Callithrix jacchus: one gene and its partners. The protein of the gene in region 3 binds, or shares a complex with, the protein of the main gene of each other region. Links are inferred from orthologs where the notes say so. Each region holds a gene or a part of one and is shown on either strand. Other genes may lie near its edges.

Evidence for each region.
Region 1: HNRNPH2 (region 3) and SRSF1 share a complex: the UniProt entries of both Homo sapiens proteins name them as parts of the ribonucleoprotein complex. The link is inferred for Callithrix jacchus from reciprocal best matches to the Homo sapiens genes HNRNPH2 and SRSF1.
Region 2: HNRNPH2 (region 3) and ARVCF share a complex: the UniProt entries of both Homo sapiens proteins name them as parts of the ribonucleoprotein complex. The link is inferred for Callithrix jacchus from reciprocal best matches to the Homo sapiens genes HNRNPH2 and ARVCF.
Region 4: HNRNPH2 (region 3) and PA2G4 share a complex: the UniProt entries of both Homo sapiens proteins name them as parts of the ribonucleoprotein complex. The link is inferred for Callithrix jacchus from reciprocal best matches to the Homo sapiens genes HNRNPH2 and PA2G4.

The regions. Positions count from the first base shown.
Region 1 is NC_133506.1:108,329,410-108,333,560, reverse strand, and holds the start of SRSF1 (serine/arginine-rich splicing factor 1), read right to left. Parts: upstream 2,801-4,151; 5' UTR 2,678-2,800; coding exon 2,484-2,677; exon of another isoform or gene 2,068-2,483; coding exon 1,883-2,067; exon of another isoform or gene 1,518-1,882; coding exon 1,345-1,517; exon of another isoform or gene 1,145-1,344; coding exon 958-1,144; exon of another isoform or gene 585-957; coding exon 562-584; coding exon of another isoform or gene 546-561; 3' UTR 1-545. UniProt on the Homo sapiens protein: Plays a role in preventing exon skipping, ensuring the accuracy of splicing and regulating alternative splicing.
Region 2 is NC_133502.1:211,798,184-211,802,202, forward strand, and holds the start of ARVCF (splicing regulator ARVCF), read right to left. Parts: upstream 2,801-4,019; 5' UTR 2,566-2,800; intron 1-2,565. UniProt on the Homo sapiens protein: Contributes to the regulation of alternative splicing of pre-mRNAs.
Region 3 is NC_133524.1:97,710,606-97,717,849, reverse strand, and holds the end of HNRNPH2 (heterogeneous nuclear ribonucleoprotein H2), read right to left. Parts: intron 4,309-7,244; 5' UTR 4,256-4,308; coding exon 2,906-4,255; 3' UTR 2,106-2,905; downstream 1-2,105. UniProt on the Homo sapiens protein: This protein is a component of the heterogeneous nuclear ribonucleoprotein (hnRNP) complexes which provide the substrate for the processing events that pre-mRNAs undergo before becoming functional, translatable mRNAs in the cytoplasm. Binds poly(RG).
Region 4 is NC_133510.1:63,563,934-63,568,202, forward strand, and holds the start of PA2G4 (proliferation-associated protein 2G4), read right to left. Parts: upstream 2,801-4,269; 5' UTR 2,608-2,800; coding exon 2,520-2,607; intron 394-2,519; coding exon 265-393; intron 1-264. UniProt on the Homo sapiens protein: May play a role in a ERBB3-regulated signal transduction pathway. Seems be involved in growth regulation. Acts a corepressor of the androgen receptor (AR) and is regulated by the ERBB3 ligand neuregulin-1/heregulin (HRG).

The DNA of each region.
Region 1 (4,151 bases), on a different chromosome or scaffold from region 3:
CACCAATACATTGGAACTCTATTATTTTGCTTTCATTTTGTCTTAAAAAAATGAAATAGCAACGCTCTATCAGTCACACAGAGGACATGCAGATTTAGCAGTATTGATATTATACTCTATCTTGTTGGATTTAAAGACACCCTCTACCCACATGTACACCAACAGCAGGTCACACATTAACAGTTGTAACTAAGCACTGCGACAAATTAGCCAGTTCTTCCCACATTAGTCCCTATTATAACAAAAATGGGGGGAAGGGAGCAAAATAAGTTGCTACAAAATGGGCAACATAATTTTGCCACAATTGCCAAGGTTTAAAAGGTAAAGCAATTGTAGCTAAAGGTAACTGAATAAAACATTCAAGTGTTTTAAGGAAAATGTATATAATCATTTTTACCCCCCTGCCTTTTAGTATAAGGTCAATACTGCCAATTTCATCTGTGACAATAGCACTTGGAGTCATACCATTGCCTCCATTATTGATCTGATCCTCCTCAATCCTCCTTTTGACAATCCTAAAATGATTGAAATGTGCTCCACAATCCTTAATCCAAAGCATTCTTAATCCATCTCTTCAGATATGTCTACAGAAAGACACATGAAAAGCAAGATAAACATAAGAACTTCCCCAGGTAAGATAACCATAAACATCCCCAACATCCCAGTTCACACAAATCAGGGCAAAATAGACATTTACACAATATCACAGTCTGAAGAGTATGGAGTTAACTAAATTTAAACAATCCTGTCTATGACATCACTTAAAATACAATTTATCGAAGACACGAGGGGAATGTAGATGTTAGGAGCAAAGGGATATTACAAGAATGCAATTCAACACTTTAGCCCATTCTGAACAAAACAGTTTGAATTAAAAAATGAAAAGATTGTACTGAATAAAGGAAAACTGTATACAACATGGGTTCTACAAAAAGTGTCACCAATCATCTTATGTACGAGAGCGAGATCTGCTATGACGGGGAGAATAGCGTGGTGATCCTCTGCTTCTCCTTGGGGAGTAACTGCGACTCCTGCTGTTGCTTCTGCTACGGCTTCTGCTACGACTACGGCTTCGAGATCGAGATCTTCCATAACTTGGACTTCTGGGCCCATCAACTTTAACCCGGATGTAGGCAGTTTCTCCCTATTGGATAGACAGAACTTTCCATTGAAAGATCTAAGCTTTCACCTAGCTTCAGGCATGCTGAATGAATACAATGTAACTAAAACCAGAAATCTGGCAATTTACTTGGACACCCTTGCCTGAATCCTTACCTTCAAATTCCACTGTTAAGACCACTGTATCCAATTCTGGTCAAAAAAAAGAATAAGCATATAACCTACCTCATGGGATCTAAACTTAGTGTTATCCAGTTTTCGAACTGCATAGGTCATATCTTCTTTCCGTACAAACTCCACGACACCAGTGCCATCTCGGTAAACATCAGCATAACATACATCACCTGCTTCACGCATGTGATCCTTTAAATCCTGCCAACTTCCACTTGGAGGCAGTCCTGAAAAAGCGATTTTTTTTCTTAGTATCAATTATCTTAAATTTCACGTTAAGCTGATAAGGTACATTAGGACAAAGAGTACTTTAAAATACTTAATAGTTGTACTTAAGTGATACCAGGTAAAGAGCTGGTAAGATTCTGGAATCCAGAGTCCAAAATTATTTGTAACGGATCTTCGTATCTAGTACCGCAACCTAATTTGGTAAATCACCACAGCAGCAATCCTCGTTTATTAAATTCACCCAAAAACTAAAGCAATTTAAGACCTAGCATGAAAAATTTGCAATTGTTAAACCGGTCACGCAAGAGAAAATTTTTAAGTAGTTTCCGTCCCTTCACATCAACCACACAACCGGTAGACTTACCAGAGACAACCACTCTGTTTTCAGACCGCCTGGATGGGGGGCCATAGCGACCTCGGGGAGCTCCGCCACCTCCACCCCCGCCGCCTCCTCGGCCTGTTCCACGGCCGCTTCGAGGAAACTCCACCCGCAGACGATATCCATCGTAATCATAGCCGTCGCGACCATACACCGCGTCTTCCGCGTCCCTGCGGGATCGTAGACAGTAAAAGGCATGAGAAAGACCAGGAGGAGAAGATCGCTCAGTCGGGAACCAGCGAACCCCCCGCACATGCGCACCCAACGTGGAAGAGCCCACATGCGCCGCATAATGGGAATGACCCCTCCCCCACCCAGAAACACGCCAGGCTCCCAGCCACTACACCAGCCCTCAGCGCCTCAGTTTCCCGCTCCAGCCTGCGAATGGGCTCCGGGGACGTCCAAGGCGAGGCGCCAGAGAAGCCACACCAACTCAGCTCCTCACTCGACTCCTGCATGGGCGATACAGTCTCGCCCCATCCTCTCTAAGAGCCCCCGCCTTCCCGTTCTCTATATTAAGGCCTTGGAGTCTTCCCCGACCACTCGGACCTATTTCCTCAAGGCTGCAAGCCCCATGCCGCCTCACCGCGGGTCCTCGAACTCAACGAAGGCGAAGGGCGGTCCCCCGCGGCGATTCTTGAGATCGATGTCGCGGATAGCGCCGTATTTGTAGAACACGTCCTCAATGTCCTTGGTTCGGATGTCTGGAGGTAAGTTACCCACGTAAATGCGGCAATCGTTGTTCCCTGCGGGGCCACGAATCACACCACCTCCCGACATGGCGGCGACGAAAAACGTGGACTCGAGAACGGGCCTTCCCACCAAGCCTAGCGCACGGCAGAGCAAGCCCGCAGCGGCACCACGTCTCCCGCGGCCCCTCCAAAATGGCGCCTTTATCAGTTCGGCGCACGGATATGGGGGGGGGGGGAGACAGAGGAAGAGAAGCGGAAGGAAACAGCGATTCGATCCCAACACGCACGCGCTGCGAAGACTACGTTCAACGTACGCGCGCGCACGCACGCGCGACGTCACCCTCCGCACGAAGGGGGAAAAAAAGTCCCCCGCGTTCCCGGCTTGGGGTGGTTTGCGAATAGAGTGGCCGTTTGGTAAAAGTTAAATAAAGAACTCTCTCTAAAGGAGCTAGTCTTCCAGGTCGGGTCTTGAAGGACAGTCAGTTTCCCCAGGAATGAGGATCTCTGAAAGCAACTCGGCGCCTTGAAAGGACTTGGTGAAACCTAGCCTAGAGCCTTGTCCCACCATGCTCTGCGGCGATAACGGCCTTTGGCGGGAAGGAGTCTCGGGGGCGGGGCCAAAGGGGGAGGGACCGGGCGGTTGCTCCGGAAACCCAGGCATCCTTGTAGAGTGCGTCTAGTTCAGAGCTGAGGTGCCATTGGAGAGCTGGGGCGTTGGTTTGTCTTCCCTCTCCTCCTGCGAACAGGGCGTGGCTCCTTAGACAATGAGATTTGTCTAATTTAGCAAAACCGATTTCGATTCCTAAATAAATCCTCTTCACTAAGTACCGTTCCACCTTCTGGTCAGAACTTTGCATAGCTTAGTTCAGCACTCCTTGTGCTTAGTCGCGGTGGGTAGGTCGTACTAGCTATCCGGAAGGGGTGAAAACACCGTACCGCCTCTGGGACCCACACCTCTGTATCTCTTGTTAGTCGCCTATCCGTGGGACTGGCGCAAAAGATTTGCAAATTTGTTTCCGTTGTTTCCTTTCAAATAAAGAGAAGGAAGAAGGGGTGCGTGTGTGCAGTTTTCCCTAAAAGTTACTGATATACCAGGTTTTGAAACTACCAGTCCTCTCAGGTAATAAAATGGAGCGAAATGGATGTGAGAACCGTAACCACTAGAGACCGCGGTTGCTACTCAGGACTGTGATCTACTTGCCTGCAGTCTTGGGAGATAATATTTTACATTTTTTTCCGACGTCTAAAATCTAGATTTTTTATGTTAAATCCAGGGATTTTTAAGGTAATGAATTCAAATTAAAATCAGGCTGGGCGTGGTAGCTCACGCCAGCACTTTGATGGGCGGGTCACATTGAGGTCAGTAGTTCAAGACCAGCTTGGCCAACATGGTGAAAACCAATCGCGGTGGCTCACGCCTGTAATCCCAGCACTTTGGGAGGCCGAGGCGGGTGGATCACGAGGTCAAGAGATCGAGACCATCCTAGTCAACATGGTGAAACCCCGTCTCTACTAAAAAATACAAAAAATGAGCTGGGCATGGTGGCACGTGCCTGTAATCC
Region 2 (4,019 bases), on a different chromosome or scaffold from region 3:
CTGTCTCCTGGGTTCAGGTGATTCTCCTGCCTCAGTCTCCCCAGTAGCTGGGATTACAGGCATGCACCACCAGGCCCAGCTAATTTTTTTTTTATTTTTAGTAGAAACAGGGTTTCACCATGTTGGTCAGGCTGGTCTCAAAGTACTGACCTCAGGTGATCTGCCCGCCTAGGTCTCCCAAAGTGCTGGGATGACAGGTGTGAGACACTACGACCGGCCCATCCTGGTTTGTTTTATTGAGACAGAGTCTCACTCTATTGCCCAGGTGGGAGTGTAGTGGTGCAATCTCAGTTCACTGCAACCCCGTCTCCACAGTTCAATCAGTTCTCCTGCCTCGGTCTCCTGAGTAGCTAGGGTTACAGGCATGTGCCACCACACCCAGCTAAGTTTTGTATTTTTAGTAGAGACGGGGTTTTGCCATGTTGGCCAGGGTAGTGTCAAACTCCAGACCTCAGATGATCCACCCTCCTTGGCCTCCCAAAGTGCTGGGATTACAAGTGTGAGCCACTGCACCCAGCCTCACTGATCTTGATTGAAAGCTGGTGGCAAAATAACAGATGCTTTGCCTGACTAAGCCACCGTTAGGGAAGTCCCCAACACCCCTGAGGCCCACCTAGTGCCCTGCAGTGCAGAGCTGTGCCGGGACCCCCACCCTCCATTCCCAGCCCTATCTACAGAGTGGGCCCTGACTCCCTATCCCAGCTCTACCCTGTCCCTCCCTCTGCCAGGGCCAGGCGGGGAACACAACAGATGGGGTAGACAGAGGGTGGTGCCTGGCATCCATGCACAGAGACTGGGGATCCTGCTGCCCCTGCTCCTCCTGTCCTCACTCAGGACAGCCTCATGCTACCTCAGGCCAGACTCCTGGGGTGAAGGAACACAGTGAATTCACCCTGTGTAGCATAAACAGGAAGAGGGATGCTACCCTACCTACCCCCACAGAGCCACAGAGATGCAGAGAGGCCCCTGGGACTGGGAGGAGACTGCAAGGCCACCTCTGGAGGGGGTGCCAGAGCGAACATGGGAGCCAAGCAGCCCAGATGTGGTGGGGGAAGCTCGAATTTAGGAGGGCTGATGGCCTGACCTTGTTCACCCAGGAGGGACCTTGGTCAGGAGTTCCTCATGTTTATGCAGAAAAGCCTGACAGGGCAGCTTGGCCAAGAGCTGGGCAGGGGCTGGCTTGGCTGTGCTCAACGACCCTCTCAGCTGGGACTTGAGTTCCTCAGCGAATGTTCTATGCCCAGTCCTCTACTGGGCCCTAGTGGACCCCAGAATGAGAGTGGGGTGAGGTCAGGGGACAGCAGGAGCAGACACTGTGGACAGGATGAAGCAAGATTGGGAGTAAAGTGTAGGCCTTCCCAGACACACCATGGCTCACACTGTGGCCTGACCTAGGGCCAGGATCACCTGCTCAGGAACTAACCAACTACTGACATGGCACACTGGGCAAGAGAGCACTGACTGCCCCCTGCATTCAGCACCATCCCAGCTCCAACACAGTGAGTACAAGACAGGTAGCACCCGTCCTGTTTGGACCGGACCTCTAACCACAGCTTGGACCCCAGAGTAAAGACAAATAAGGCAGTAGTAATGAAGTGGGAAGAAGGAAAGGCAGCTACCCCAGAAAAGCTGGGGTCGGGAGAGGTGGAGGTTTCCCCACAACAGCCTGGGTACCCGCTTGAGGTTATCAGACACAGCGTTAAGAGCCTACTCTAAAACATACCCACAGGGCATCTTTCTTTTCCTTATTTCTAAATATGCCTGGATGTGCAGAGAAAGGGAGCTGAAGTCCCTTAGTTCCATTTTCAGTACGTTACGTTACACATAGCTAAGAAACAGTGAAATATTGTAAGCAAACAATATTTAATTATTTAAAATTTAAAATGAAAGGCTGGAGATCTCAGGCGACCTGCCCAGGGCGACTCTAGAGCAAACTGAATTGAGGATCCATCAGAATAGAGAAGACTTGTCTCTGCACGGGCCCCGAGGGGGCGCAGGGCGACGTGGGGAAGGGGACCCAGGCCGGGGATCCGGGTGGCGTGTCCTAGCTCGCCCCCTAGGCGGCGGGAGCAGCGCGGTGCAGGGACATCCCTCCAGGCCGTCGGTGCCTCTGCGCTTCCCGGCGTCCCGCTGCCCCAGGAAAGTTCCCGGCCTGCCGCCCCTCGGGCCGTTGGAAAGTTTCCGTGGCTGCGGAGCCCTGGCAGCTAGGTGCCAGGCGTCGCGCCGGGCTGACAAGGCTGCGGTGTCGGGCCGCGTTCAGCTGAGGCGCGCGGTGCGAGGCGCCGGGCCGGGTCCCGTAGGGCCCCGAGGCCGCGCACAAAGGGACCCGCCTCCGCCGGCCCGGGGTCTCAGGCGCCGCAGCGCGCTCGGGCAAGACGCGGATGGGGCGGAGACGGGCTCCAACGCCGGGCCCAGATCCTCGCCCGGATCTCGACTCCGGGGACAGGACCCAGTCCGGACCGCTGCCGGGAACGCGGCCCAGATCTACGGCCCCGCCCCCAGTCCGGGCTCTGACCTGCGGTCCCAGCCTCGAGCCCGGCACCCCGCCCACTGGCTCGAGCTTACCTGGAGCGCAGCGTGGGCGGCTCCGCAGCGCGGCCCCAGTCCCCAGACGGGCGTCCCCGGGTCCCTCAGCGCGAAGGGAGCGGCGTTCCCAGGCACGGCGCGGGTCACCGTCCCCGAGGCCGCAACTCGGGCAGGTGCGGGAACCGGTGCGGGGCCGCCCCCTCCCTCCGGGCCCAGAGCGCAGGCCGAGACCCCGGGCCAGCCCTCCCGCCCTCACGCGGCCCGTGTGCAAAGCGAACCGGGCCGGCGACACGGATCTTCGCCCCGCCCCATCCAACCGCAAATTTTCCCATTGGTCGAGAGACCCGGCGCGGCACGGCAATAGGCGCCGATTGGACGGGTGCGCAAAGATGACGGCTTGCCATTGGGCCTCCGGGGTGTCAGTCCCGGCGGATGACCGGCCCCCTCTCGGAGGGGCAGAGGCCCCGGCACCTGCTCGACTCTCTGCGGCGGCGGCCTCAGGGTACGCCGGGCCGCCCCTTCCCAGCTGACTTACGAGAACATTCCCCCGACCATCCAGCCCCGAGCAGGGACTGGCATGGCTGGCGCCCAGTCCCGGGACTCCGGCCGCGTAGCCTCCATCACCACCCCCAGTTCACCAGTATCCTTCTTCAGCGCCTGCTACTCTGCGCGCTGGGCGCCGCGCCCGCCTGTCGACATCGAATTGTGTTCTTCATGCAAACCGCGAGGAAGAGTACTGCTGCGATCCCCATTTTACAGTTGCGAAACAGGCTCACAGAGGTTCTCACTTGCTTGAATGCAGTCGTCTGACTGGAGCCTGGGGACTCTCCCACCCTCACCGCCCCTGGGACCCCGCAGCGGGGCGGGGGTGGAGGTAGGGGCTGCATTATTTCCGAGGGCAGGAAGGGACCCCCTCGGTAAACCAGGGGCTCACCTCCCCAACCAGGCCTGGATGTACAGACCTCTTGGGCCTGTCCCACCCTGCAGGTCCCACAGGAGGCCGCCCTTCCTCACCTCCTCCTGGCATCCTCACATCCCACAAGCTCTCCGTCTGGGGAAGCGGAGTTGTGCGGTTATGGCCCCGTACTGCTGTCCCATTGTCTCCATCCTACCTGGAGTCAGAAAGGAACGTGGCTTCACTGCCTGTTGAGATTCGCATGGGTTGCATTTCCTTGCCAAGTTCAGAGCACCAGACGTGAGACACATGTGGGACCATGACCCTCTGCCAGCTCCGCTTAACCTTGCAGTGTGGGGAAACCAGCAGGGATGTTCATGCCCAGTTCTTTTTTTCAGGAGGTCCTAAGATGACTTCTTAGCCAGTGACCCTGGCTCATGCATGCTGTCAGCCTTTCCTGCCCTGGATGCATCTGAAGATGACCAGTCCTTGGCTCACTGCATTCCCCAAGGCCACCTGGGGAACCAAACTGCCCACAACCATGCTCATGGGTGGTGGAGGGGTGTGACCAGACACTCCTGTCTTACCCACCCATATT
Region 3 (7,244 bases):
GAACAGAGCAAGATCCTGTCTCAGAAAAACACAAAAAGCAAAATACAGTTTGCTGGGCTCCACCCCCACAGTTTCTGATTCACTCGTTGGGGGAAAGGGGGCAGGGGGGTGCGCAAAAAGAATCTGCGTATTGCATGAGGTGTAGGTTCATGCTGTTACTGATCCAGGAACCACACCCTGAGAACCACTAGCAGAAGCCATCCGATACTCTTAGGCCACGATAATTGTGGATGCAAATTTTCTGCCTAATCGTGCCAAGTGGGTGACAAACGCAGATGAAAATAAATCCCCGACTCAGTGTTTTGGGGTGTTGTTGGTGGGCTGCCCGCTCTACTCCCAGCAAACTTTCCTGGATAGTGTTAGATTTGCATGTTGGAGCACAAGTGGTGGTGTGTACACGCATGTGCACACCAGCTGTACTGCTGTCCCTTTGCATACCTCTATTGCTGACCACTGACCTTCTCCAGGTTCTCTCATTTGCTCCTCAGAGACCTTCTGAGTTTTCTTATCCAGCGAAGTAAGCCAACATCTAAGACCACAGGAGCCGTCTATTGTTTCCTGAGATTTGGTGCCATCTAGTGGCTAACTTGAGAATCTTTGCCCAGATCCAGAGAAACTTCTAGAAAATTAACTGAGTAGCCTGGAAAGGCAAAAAACACCTACTTGTTTACCCTCCAAGAAAGGCTTCCTGAAGGACAAGGACTGACTCAACACGATAGGAGTCAAAATGGATTTCTTGCTCTCCTGAGAGCTGTGATAAAAATTAGAAGTCAGCAAAGAATCTCAAATCATGTCCCACTGCACCTTTGGCTTGAATGAGTTTTTGGAATTGATTTTCATTTCCTGAATGAAACGGAGTCGGGTAATACCAACTTGGTATTTGCCTCCCATCTCATTTCTCTGGCCCTCAAGCCGTAAACAGCCCACATAGAGCAATCCAGTTCCCAAGTGGTCAAATCTACAAAGAGATCTGTAGTTCAAGGTACAGCTGGTACTGATCAGAGGGACATCAGGACCTGAAGGTCACTGAGGTGTGGAATTGTTAATAACCACTGTGGTTCAGACAGAAATCTAAGATATCAGCATGATACCACGGGTTCTCAGAATCCTGGGAGGTCTGAGGCATTGTAAATACGTGATTGAGACTTTAATAGAAAATTTAAACTACTTGTTACAGGAACAAAGGGGAGGAAATCAGGGATCATAAAGGAAGCTGCTCCTTAAAGTTGCTGTTTGGGGAACTGTGATGGGTCTCAAAACATGGTCTTGAGACCAGCAGCATCAGCACATTCTCAAGCAACATCCCAAAACTACTGAACTGGAAACTCTAGGGATGCAGCCTATAAATGAATGTTTAAGTAAGCCCTGCAGATGATTCTGATGCACATGAAACTTTGAGAACCACTGGTTTAAGATAAGCTTTAGATGCCCTAAAAAACACCTGGGAGTGTTTAGAGACTCTACTAATAAATTCATGGAAGAGATAATTTATTGCCATAACATAAGCCTGCTTCATTTTTATGTTTTGTTTTCAACACATAATAATTGTAAGCCTACTTCTTTTTTAACATACAAAGGTGCCTTCTAGTTTGTGGTGAAATAAAAAGGATTATTTATTTGCTTTCACTTCTTTGGATTTTAGAGAATACTATATTGGTAAGAACAGTCTCCAAAAGTAGTTCAACAGTCCTGTAGACATGGTAATAAGTTTTTTTTAAAGAAAATGTTCAACTTTAATATTAATCAAAGAAATACAAATTAAAATAGCAAAGATATCATTTCTCAACTAACAAACTGGCAAAGATCAAAAAAACTAACGTACATCAATAAGGAGGGTATGAGGGGGAAAAATAAAACACACAGTCCTCTAGGTAGAAAGATAAAGTACCAGAATCTTTCTGGTAACACAAATCACAAGCCTTAAAAATGGGTATATCCTTGACTCAGCAATCCCATTTCTAGGGATGTATCTTAGAAATAACTAATGATATATGCAACAATGAACATATAAAGATGTAAATATAATTTTTAAATTAAAATTTTTAAGAGGGAATTATAAAATCAGTGTGCCCATATGACAGAACATAATAAAAATCAGAGCAAGATTTTTTCCAGTTTTTAAAAGGAAGATTTATTTAACAAGTTTCACTTAGTACAATACATCTAAATGGAAATCACAATACAAGGAAAGATTTAAACCAAAGCCTCAGAATCTCATACAAACGACACGACCAAACTTCTAAAGTATTGGTATTACATCTTAAAATTGTCCCGTATCCTTTAAAAAAAAAAAAAGTAAAAGTGTACACTCACGTGCCTTACAGAGTATTAAACCAAAAAGCTAGAATTAACAAACATGCCAAATGTTTTCACTTTGAATCGTAGACACAGCTCCTATATTTGAGTTTTACAGAAAAGCATGTTTCTCAACATGCATCCAAAGTTTTCAATGTATTTGTGGTATAAGAGCAACATTTAACATAAGTGAAACTGCATTAACCTAAATAAGCTTACTGCTTAAGTACACTCCTACAACATAACTAACTTGAGAAAAGCTAAAAATCGTTTAAACAGTTATGGTCAATACTGAACTTTGTTATTATGTCCTAGATGAATGTTTCAGTGTTCAAAATTACTGAACTTGAAGTTTCAAAATAATCTCAACTCCCACTTTACAGTAAGCATGAATCACAAGCCTGTAATGCAAAACTGTTAAACTTAACTTTTGTTTTCTTAAAAAAGGAGAAAGATAAAGAAAGAGAAGCTGACCAAGAGTGATCAGTATCAATAATATTTCCCATATGCCAATCATACTGGATATACTAGACATCCCTCCCATTCTATTCAACTCCCATAAATGTACAGCTTTTATATCTAGAGTAGCTGTTTAGTGCTCCTTCTCTACCTAAGCAAGGTTTGACTGATAGTCACTGGAGTTTTCCTGGAGAACTTGGTCATATCCACTCATACTGCTCTGACCACCATAACCACCTCCATAACCACCACTCAGCTGCTGGCTAGCAGGACCGCCATAACTAGACTGGTTGGATAAGCCCATCCCTCCCATCATTTGGCTACCATAAGCGCCACCACTTGCCCCTGCTGTAGAATTCAAAAACAGTTCTACATAGCTGTGATCATAAGCCCCTCCACTTGTTCCTGCAGTAGAATTTAGGAAGAGCTCCACATATCTGTGTTGCATATTAGCCTTGTCTTTTGCCATAGCTGCCACAGCATCTTCATGAGTAGCAAATTCAACATCTGCCTCACCAGTAACTCTGCCATCGGGTCCAATTTCAATATGTACTCTCATGGGATTAAGAGGTGAGAAGAAATTATAAATATCATTCTCAGTGGCTCTGTAAGGTAACCCCCTCATGTGTACACAGTGCCCTGTGGTGCTCTGGAAACTGGACCCACCATCTCCATATCTATGATCAGACATTCCTGAAAAACAGTAATTGAGGTCTCTTCCAAATCTATCTGACCCAAAGCCATATCCATCATTATAGCCACCATAGTCATCATAGCCTCCATACCCTCCACCATAGGCACCACGCCTCATCCTTTCAAACCCAGCTCCTCTGCCAATGCTATTATACCCTCTGCCAGCCCCTGGCCTATCATAGGGACCTGGCCGCTGCATAGCCATGAGCTTTCGAGGGGGATCATAGTGGGTTCGAACTTCAGCTCGGCTACTCTTGAAGATCTCAATGTACCTGTGCCCTATTCTTTCCTTGTGTTTCTTTAAGGCCTTCTCAGCTATCTCCTGCGAAGCAAACTGCACAAAGGCTTCCCCTGTGCTTCGCCCCTGAAAGTCCACTGGCAGTGTCATCCCATTTGGCACAATTTCCAACCCTGAAAAGAACTGAACGATCTCTTCCTTGCTACAGCCAAATGGGAGTCCTCTAAGCCGGACGAAGCCATCGTTGGCAGTATCAGGGCTATTCGGACCTGTATGCTTCAACACCCAATCCATTTCAACACTGTTAGACTTGAATACTTCAACGTATCTGTGTCCCATGGTTTCTCTGTCCTTCTTCAAAGCCAATTTCACTTCCTCTTCAGATTCAAGTTCAACAAATGCTTCGCCACTTGGTCTTCCTTCTCTGGTGTAGATGAAACGAATACCTGATGTGCCATTTTGGATCTTGCAATCAGAGAAGAAGCGCATCACTTCATCAGCTGAGCAGGACCAGGGTAGGCCCCTGACCTTCACCACGAACCCCTCCCTGCCTTCTGTGCTCAGCATCATGGTGACTGTTGGGCTCTTGGTGGCAAGTTTGGCTCAACACAATTTTGGTGTAGCTGGAAAAAAAAAATTAGAAGACTACTGTCATGGAAAAATGCTAATACAGTAAAAGAGAAAAGCAAACTATTAATAGAAAACTCAATTATGCTGACAGCTTTGCTGTAAGACATCTGTATAAACAAAAAAGAATTCACCAAATTTTTAACTCATTCATTTTTTAACAGTTATTTATTCAATGCCTATTACGTGTTGGATACCATTAAAAATTAACAGCAATTGGCCAGGCACCGTGGCTCACATCTGTAATCCCAGCACTTTGGGAGGCCGAGGCAGGTGGATCACCTGAGGTCAGTAGTTTGAGACCAGCCTAGTCAATGTGGTGAAACCTCATCTCTACTAAAGATACAATTAGCTGGGCATAGTGGTGGGCACCTGTAATCCCGGCTACTCAGGAGGCTGAGGCAGGAAAATTGCTTGTACCCAGGAGGCAGAGGTTGCAGTGAGCCAAGATCACACCACTGCGCTCCAGCCTAGGCAACCAGGGCAAAATCCCATCTCAAAAAAAAAAAAAAAAATTAACAGCAACAAATAAATGGGAGATGTCAACAAATAAAAGATGGCTATATCTGAATATATAAACATAAAAAACTTCACTAGATCAAAAGATTAAACAATAATTAAAACACAAAACACAAGTTATATAAGTTCTTTATATAATATCCTTATATAAAAATGTAGGCAAATCAATAAAATCAGGGATATATTTAGGCTTCAGAGATAAATGAAAAAAAGACATTATTGGGAATTCACACATTCATTTTAGAAACATCTTGTAGTTGCCAAGTCCAATACTCGGCTCTAGCATACAAGAATCAATAAGCCCACAAAGGGCTTATGGTCCTACAGGGGGATTGTATGTAATTATTAAAGACATAAATGCAAATAGACATTATAATTGCCATGACCCTCTGGGTGAGGTGTAAGCACAGTATTAAGGAGGGAGCAGTTGATCAGTTCTATTGTTTGGAGGCCAAATGGTTAAATGAAACAGACTAACCTGTCTAGGGATCCATAAACAAAATTTTTTATATTATGATGAAGCACAATCAGGAGAGGGAAAAGCAAGAGAAAAGGCTGGCAAGGCATAGATCAGATCCCAAAGACTTTCATATACAAACACTAAACACCTTTTAAGACTTTTAAACTGGGGAGTATGTGGGGTGACTTCACCAAAACCCTTTCAGGCAGATCACCCTGGCAACAGTGTGGCACTAAAACAGAAGGGGGTTGAGGTGAAACTACTGAGATTAATTAGTTAGAACTCGTCTCTTTCAATGCAAAAGGTCTCAAAAAAAAAACTAGTCTCTTAAAGATATGTTAAAGGAATTGTCTAAGCAACAGGAGTAAAATGGAGAAAAGATATGATCCACACATACTGAAAAAAAGTGGAATCTGTGGGACTTGATAACAGATTAAGTATGGGAGAATATAGGTATAGGAGGATACAGGAGAGTTATCTGGAAATATTCAAATTTCATCAATTTCCAGCAAGTTAAAACCAGAACTAATCCTTATTTTTCACCCATCAAGATAATGGAAATTAAACAGTGACCGTAAATCAGTGCTACCCAGGGTTCACAAACTAATACACTACTAGAGGAGTTACAATTGATATAAACTATTTCCTTTTTGATAAATCCCACTATATTCTGAAAGCAATTTGATAATATGTATGACACCTTTTGACAGCAAATACATTTCAGTTATGTGCCCTAAGGAGATGATATGAAACTCAGACAAAGATTTATGGAGCAATATATTCTATGAAAAGTACTTTATTAAAAAAAACTGGAATATCACATATTTTAAAAGTTACAAAAATATTTAATAACATGAGAAATTACTTATGGTATAACTGTAAGTGACCCAAGAGCACAGCTGCTTTACAATCTCAACTATGTAAAAAATACATGTTTCCATAGCCTTTGACATGGCTAGAATCCTTCCAGGAATCTAGTCAACAGAAATACTTACAAATGTTCCTTGCAGCACTGTTAGTAATGGGGAAAAATGGGGAACCTAAATAGCCATCATTAGAGGAATGGCTGAATGAATTATACTTTATCCTTAAAACAATGCAATGTAGCCATTAAAAAAAAAAAAAAACTATCTGCCCTGACCCAGAAAGATCTCCAAAATATATTAAAGAATATACATAGTATGATTCTACTTATATTAAAAGATTAGCATGCATATATATGTAAATAAATAAAAGATGATGTGGGAGCAAACTCGTTTTTGAGAACAGTGGAGGATAGGGGGAGTGCAGTGGGCTTTTCGATTTTTACCCTATATACTTCTATACAGTTTCATTCTTTAAATTCGCCGTACTTTAAATTCGGGGTTTTTTTTTTTAAGTTAGAAAGAACATATTAGTGGTTACTCTGAGCGATAGGTTTATGGCTTTTCCATGCTATTTTTCCAATTTTTTTATGCAGTCTTAATTTTCTACAGAAATAATTATTTTACTTTAGCAAAAAAGTAACTAATTAAAAATTAAAAACAAATTAAAATGTTTGCATTTCTGAGATTTGGTATAGCAAATTTTACAAAATTTTCTAATTTTCTATGTAGATGGTTTATCTGATATGATCTGGGAACATTGGGCCTCTTAGAAACAAAGTACAAAGTGTAATAATGGCCATAAAACTACACCGAGAAAACAATGCAACATTTACCGATTCCCTATTATGTGCCTACCACACTGCATCTGCAGTGATAACAGGTTTTCTATTAACCATCCTAAGGTCTCAATGACAGATTTACAGGCTGTTTTTTTAATCTCATTTTGCAGCTGTTTTTTTTTGTTGTTGTTGTTGTTGTTTTGTTTTGTTTTGTTTTTTTGCTTGCCTTATCCCTGGGATAACCCGTCCCATTTAATACTCTATTCCTTAAGAGCCTCTCTATAGGGGCAGGGAGGTTCTACTTCATT
Region 4 (4,269 bases), on a different chromosome or scaffold from region 3:
AATCATCAGCCTACTGCCTTGCTTTCTCCTGGGAGCCCTGTTGCCCTTCAGAAAAGTGTAAGGATATTTTCAGGGACTTGCTTAAGCTTTGATCAGTTTGGATTAGGAAGAAAACTGCTTGTATCCCATTTGCCATTCCAAATTTTCAAATATCTCAACCAGAGCTGGAGTGGAGACTGCATCATTACAATGAAAAAAATAAAACATATAGAACTAAATAAGGGTCAAATGGGAAATTAGTGAGGTTTTTTTTTTTTTTTTTACCTTTCTTCATTTCCTTTTCTTTTTTGAAGATTTTCCCTGTTTCTTCCATAATCATGGCATCACCTTTCTCACACAGGCTCAGTACCGACACACCTGAGCTAGATGCTTCCACCAAGGACCGAAGTACCCCTGAGGACAGAATGCCATCATGTCAGCCTTGTATGTATTTATTGTCTAGTTACCACCCAAGGAATACCTGGAAGCTGGACTTAGGAGTCTGTAATACTCTCTAGTGCTACTGCCCCGAGGCTGAAAGGACAACATTCCCTTCCCTTCCTTATTACGTTACAAGTGGGTATATACAATCCATCTTCCTAGGCAAGGCCTTGGACTTTCCAAAGATGCTACCTTTGGTGTGACAGGACAGAGTTATGAACTTTAGAGGGTTCTTGCCAAGGTATGCCCACATACACGCAAAGACAAGATGAAATTTATAGGCATCAGGGACAACAAGAAGGTAGACAGAATTGCAGACTCGAAGCTGATGCATTATTAAATGTTACCGCCTTCCTTTCTCAGACATTCTAATTAGGTGTTAGGAATCTCAACCTATGTAGACTTATTTCCTCATAAACAAGAGTATAAGCCAAAGGGGCTTAACCTAAGGTCCCTGGGTTTCATTTCAGGGGATCATGGCTTATCTCAAAGAGATGTGAGGCCAAATTTACAAAATTTATATCTGAGATCACAATGGCCTGAAGTTATAAACTGCAAAAAAGAGACTTTCTGATTCAAACTACTATCTCAAATACTAACAGGCACCAAAAACCAGGGTACTATACTAAATGTCCACTGTGCACAGGTTTGATTTTTGAAATCTCAGTTTTGGTGATTCTTTGAAAGCTGGTAAAAACTCAGATTTTCACCCACAGGACCGGAGGCATCCTAAATACCGCTTCCCCACCATCTTTGCTGTTAAAACCATTTAAAAGCTGGGCACAGTGGCTCACACCTGCAGTCCAGGCACTTTGGGAGGCCAACGTGTGCGGATACCTGAGGTCAGGAGTTCAAGACCGGCCTGGCCAACATGGTGAAACCCGGTCTCCACTAAAAATACAAAAAACAAGCTAGGCATAAGGACATGCTCCAGTAATCCCAGCTGTTGTGAGGCTAAGGCAGGAGAATCGCTTGAACCCAGGAGGCGGAGGTTGCAGTGAGCCAAGACTGCGCCATTGCACTCCAGCCTGGGCAACAAGAGTGAAACTCTGTCTCAAAAAACAACAACAACAAAAACCAAAAAACCACACACACACACACACCCCAAAAAACATTTAAAAGCCCACGGACAAGCAGTTTCTATCTCCCTGAGTTTTAAGTAAAATGGAAAGGCGAATTGGAAAGAGAGAAAAGAGAAAGTGACATCTGCCTACAGTGACAGGCTACTGCTGAGATCGTCAGAGCACAGCTTGAATAAAGATGACTTGTGACAATCCTAAAATCAGTCCTCTCTTTTCCAGTACTGTTTGCAAGCTTGCCTAGTTGGGATAAGACGGGGACTCCAAAACATTTGAGTTGTCAAGTCACTGAGAACAACAAATGTGAATGCTAACTAAGGCTATCTGCACAGATTGGAAAGGTGGTAGTAATGAGTAACTTCAAGAAAAGCCATATATATCTCCAAGACTTTGGTTAGAAGCTCCCGGAGTGCCCTCCAACGGATCCCTTAGCTGGTCCAAGGGTAGAAGGGGGCCCCCACCAGGGTAAGAGCTGAAGTAAAGGAAAGGCTCCAGCAAAGCACGTGGCAAGGAAGCTGGTGTCAGGGACAGTAGTGGAGGAAGAAGGGGGCCAGCCATCCGCAAGGGGACCCAGCAACACGTGCGAGAGGCTCGGCTCCTGAAGCCCCAGAGAATCGACAAAACAAGAGGGGGGCTTCTGTCGCCAATAGCTGGGCGCTTCCTTTTCGAGGTGGCCTCGCCGCTGCCAGAATCAGATGAAGCAGAAATCGGGACTGAAGGATTGGAACAGGAGAAAACCTGTCTTGCCTCCTAACAAACGGCCTCGGGTCGGAGCCTGCCAGGGGTCCCTCTCTGCGCTCATCCCAGTCGCCGGCCCACACGTCCACAGACTTCAGCCTGGGCCTGGCCACTCAGGTCCCAGGCGCTACACCCGGTCTTTCCACCACGCCGCCCCCAGAGAACCGGTGCGGACCCCTCGGTAGCTCACTCCGCATGACCCCTCCTCTCCAGCCCCTTTGGGGCCAGCCTGGCACCTTTCCCTGTCAGCTTTGATTCCCCGACCCCTGAGGCCGCACTCACGGTTGGCGATGTCGCCCCCCATCTTATACTTGGTCACGACCAGGTCCTCGGCGATAGTTTGCTCCTGCTGCTCGTCCTCGCCCGACATCTTCCTACCACCACCACTGCAGCCTGGTTTCCCCTGAGCCGCCGCCTCTGTCCCCGTTCCCAGCCTCAGGCTGTGGTCAGAGTCCCCTAGATCCTCGAGGAGAGGGCGAGCGAAAGCGCGAGCAAGCAAGGGAGCGGGCAAGCTGGCGAGAGCGAGAAGCTGCGAGCGCGCGGGCTGAGGCGCAGGGCACGCTGGGACAACTAGTCCTCTTCACCGCCAGCCTCTAGCCGCCCTCGGGGGCTTGAGAACTACAATTCCCAGCCTGCCTCTCGCCCTCCTAAGCCAGGCCCAGGGGCCTTGCCCTCCAAGGGCCTCGCACGCCGGAATTGCCGGGCACGCTGGGAAGGGTCAGGCTCCGGCGGGAAGGCGGAGCCGTTGGGGAGCTTGCGGGGAAGCGTGGTCTCTCCCGGAAAAACCACTTCCACCGAGAACTCTGAGCGAGAGCCCGTAACAGAGAGGGGCGGGCCGAGGGGAGAGGGGCGGAGCTACGGCGGGGAAATAGGTTTAGAGGCAAGGGTGGAGCCGGGGCGGGTGGGCAGTGTCTACACCTAGGGCGGGGAAGCGGGGTGCGCCCTTCCTTGGATCCCTCGATCGGCTGGCGAAACCCGCCCAGCCGGTCCAGTAGTCCTGCGAAGCTGGGAGAATAGGGAGAGGCAGACAGATGGAAGAAGACCTAGGGTGCTGGGAGCAGGGGCTAACTGGGCAGCCAGAATCCGGAGGGATCATCCATTTAAAGGCCTCCCAATCTAGAGGCTGGACTCCTTAAAGAAGTAACATGACATTGTTCCAATAACAGGCTGGATGGAGCACTTAAGGGAAGTGTTCAGAAAGACAGATGTTTGTTGAGAGCGCTTACTGTGAAAAAACAAAATAAAAAGATTTGGTGACTTTTCTAAGAATGAATTCAGAAACACGTAGAGGTTTCAGTATTTGGCCTCTGAAGGAGACCGGACACGTATATAGTGCTTTTTATAAGTCCCCAAGCACGTGGGTTATTTGTTTTTGTTATTCTCAATTGTTTTTGCTTTGTAGATTCCTACTAAAACCCCAAAGGACTATAAGCTATGCTTGTTCTAAAGAAATACAAGTAATAATAGGACTAGAGAAAGCTGCATGGGACGGAGTAGCATTGTCAGAAGACAGAAAGGTGACTGTCCTCTGCTGAGGAGATCTATCTAACATATGAAATGTTTTCATTTGACAGACAGGAAGCTGAAAAAAACTTTGGCATTTTTATTCAGACATGTATAAAAACAAAACATTTCAGTGATACAACAGATATTTTCCCTCAGTTCCCCATCCAAAGGAACAGAGGCGTGAAACTGGGTCTTCTTTCTATCCTACCTGGAAGCTTCTTACTGCTGGGATGAGAATGGCTCCTAAAAGTGAATCTTGGGGGAATCCTTGTGAATCTGCCCTCAGATAAGGAGTAAAGATCATTCACAGCACGTGGGTTATGGTTTACACAAAGATGTCCAGTTATTTTTCCTTCTGACTACCCCCACCACCACTTCCTGAGATGAGATGTCTTCCTATATGAGGAGGATGTGGCTGTTGGGGTTAGACTTGATTCAGTGCAGACAAGAAACGTTGCCCCTTACAAGGGCTGTGACTTAAATCAGTTTTCCTTGGCACTTACAGTTAAGAGCACATGCACAGGAA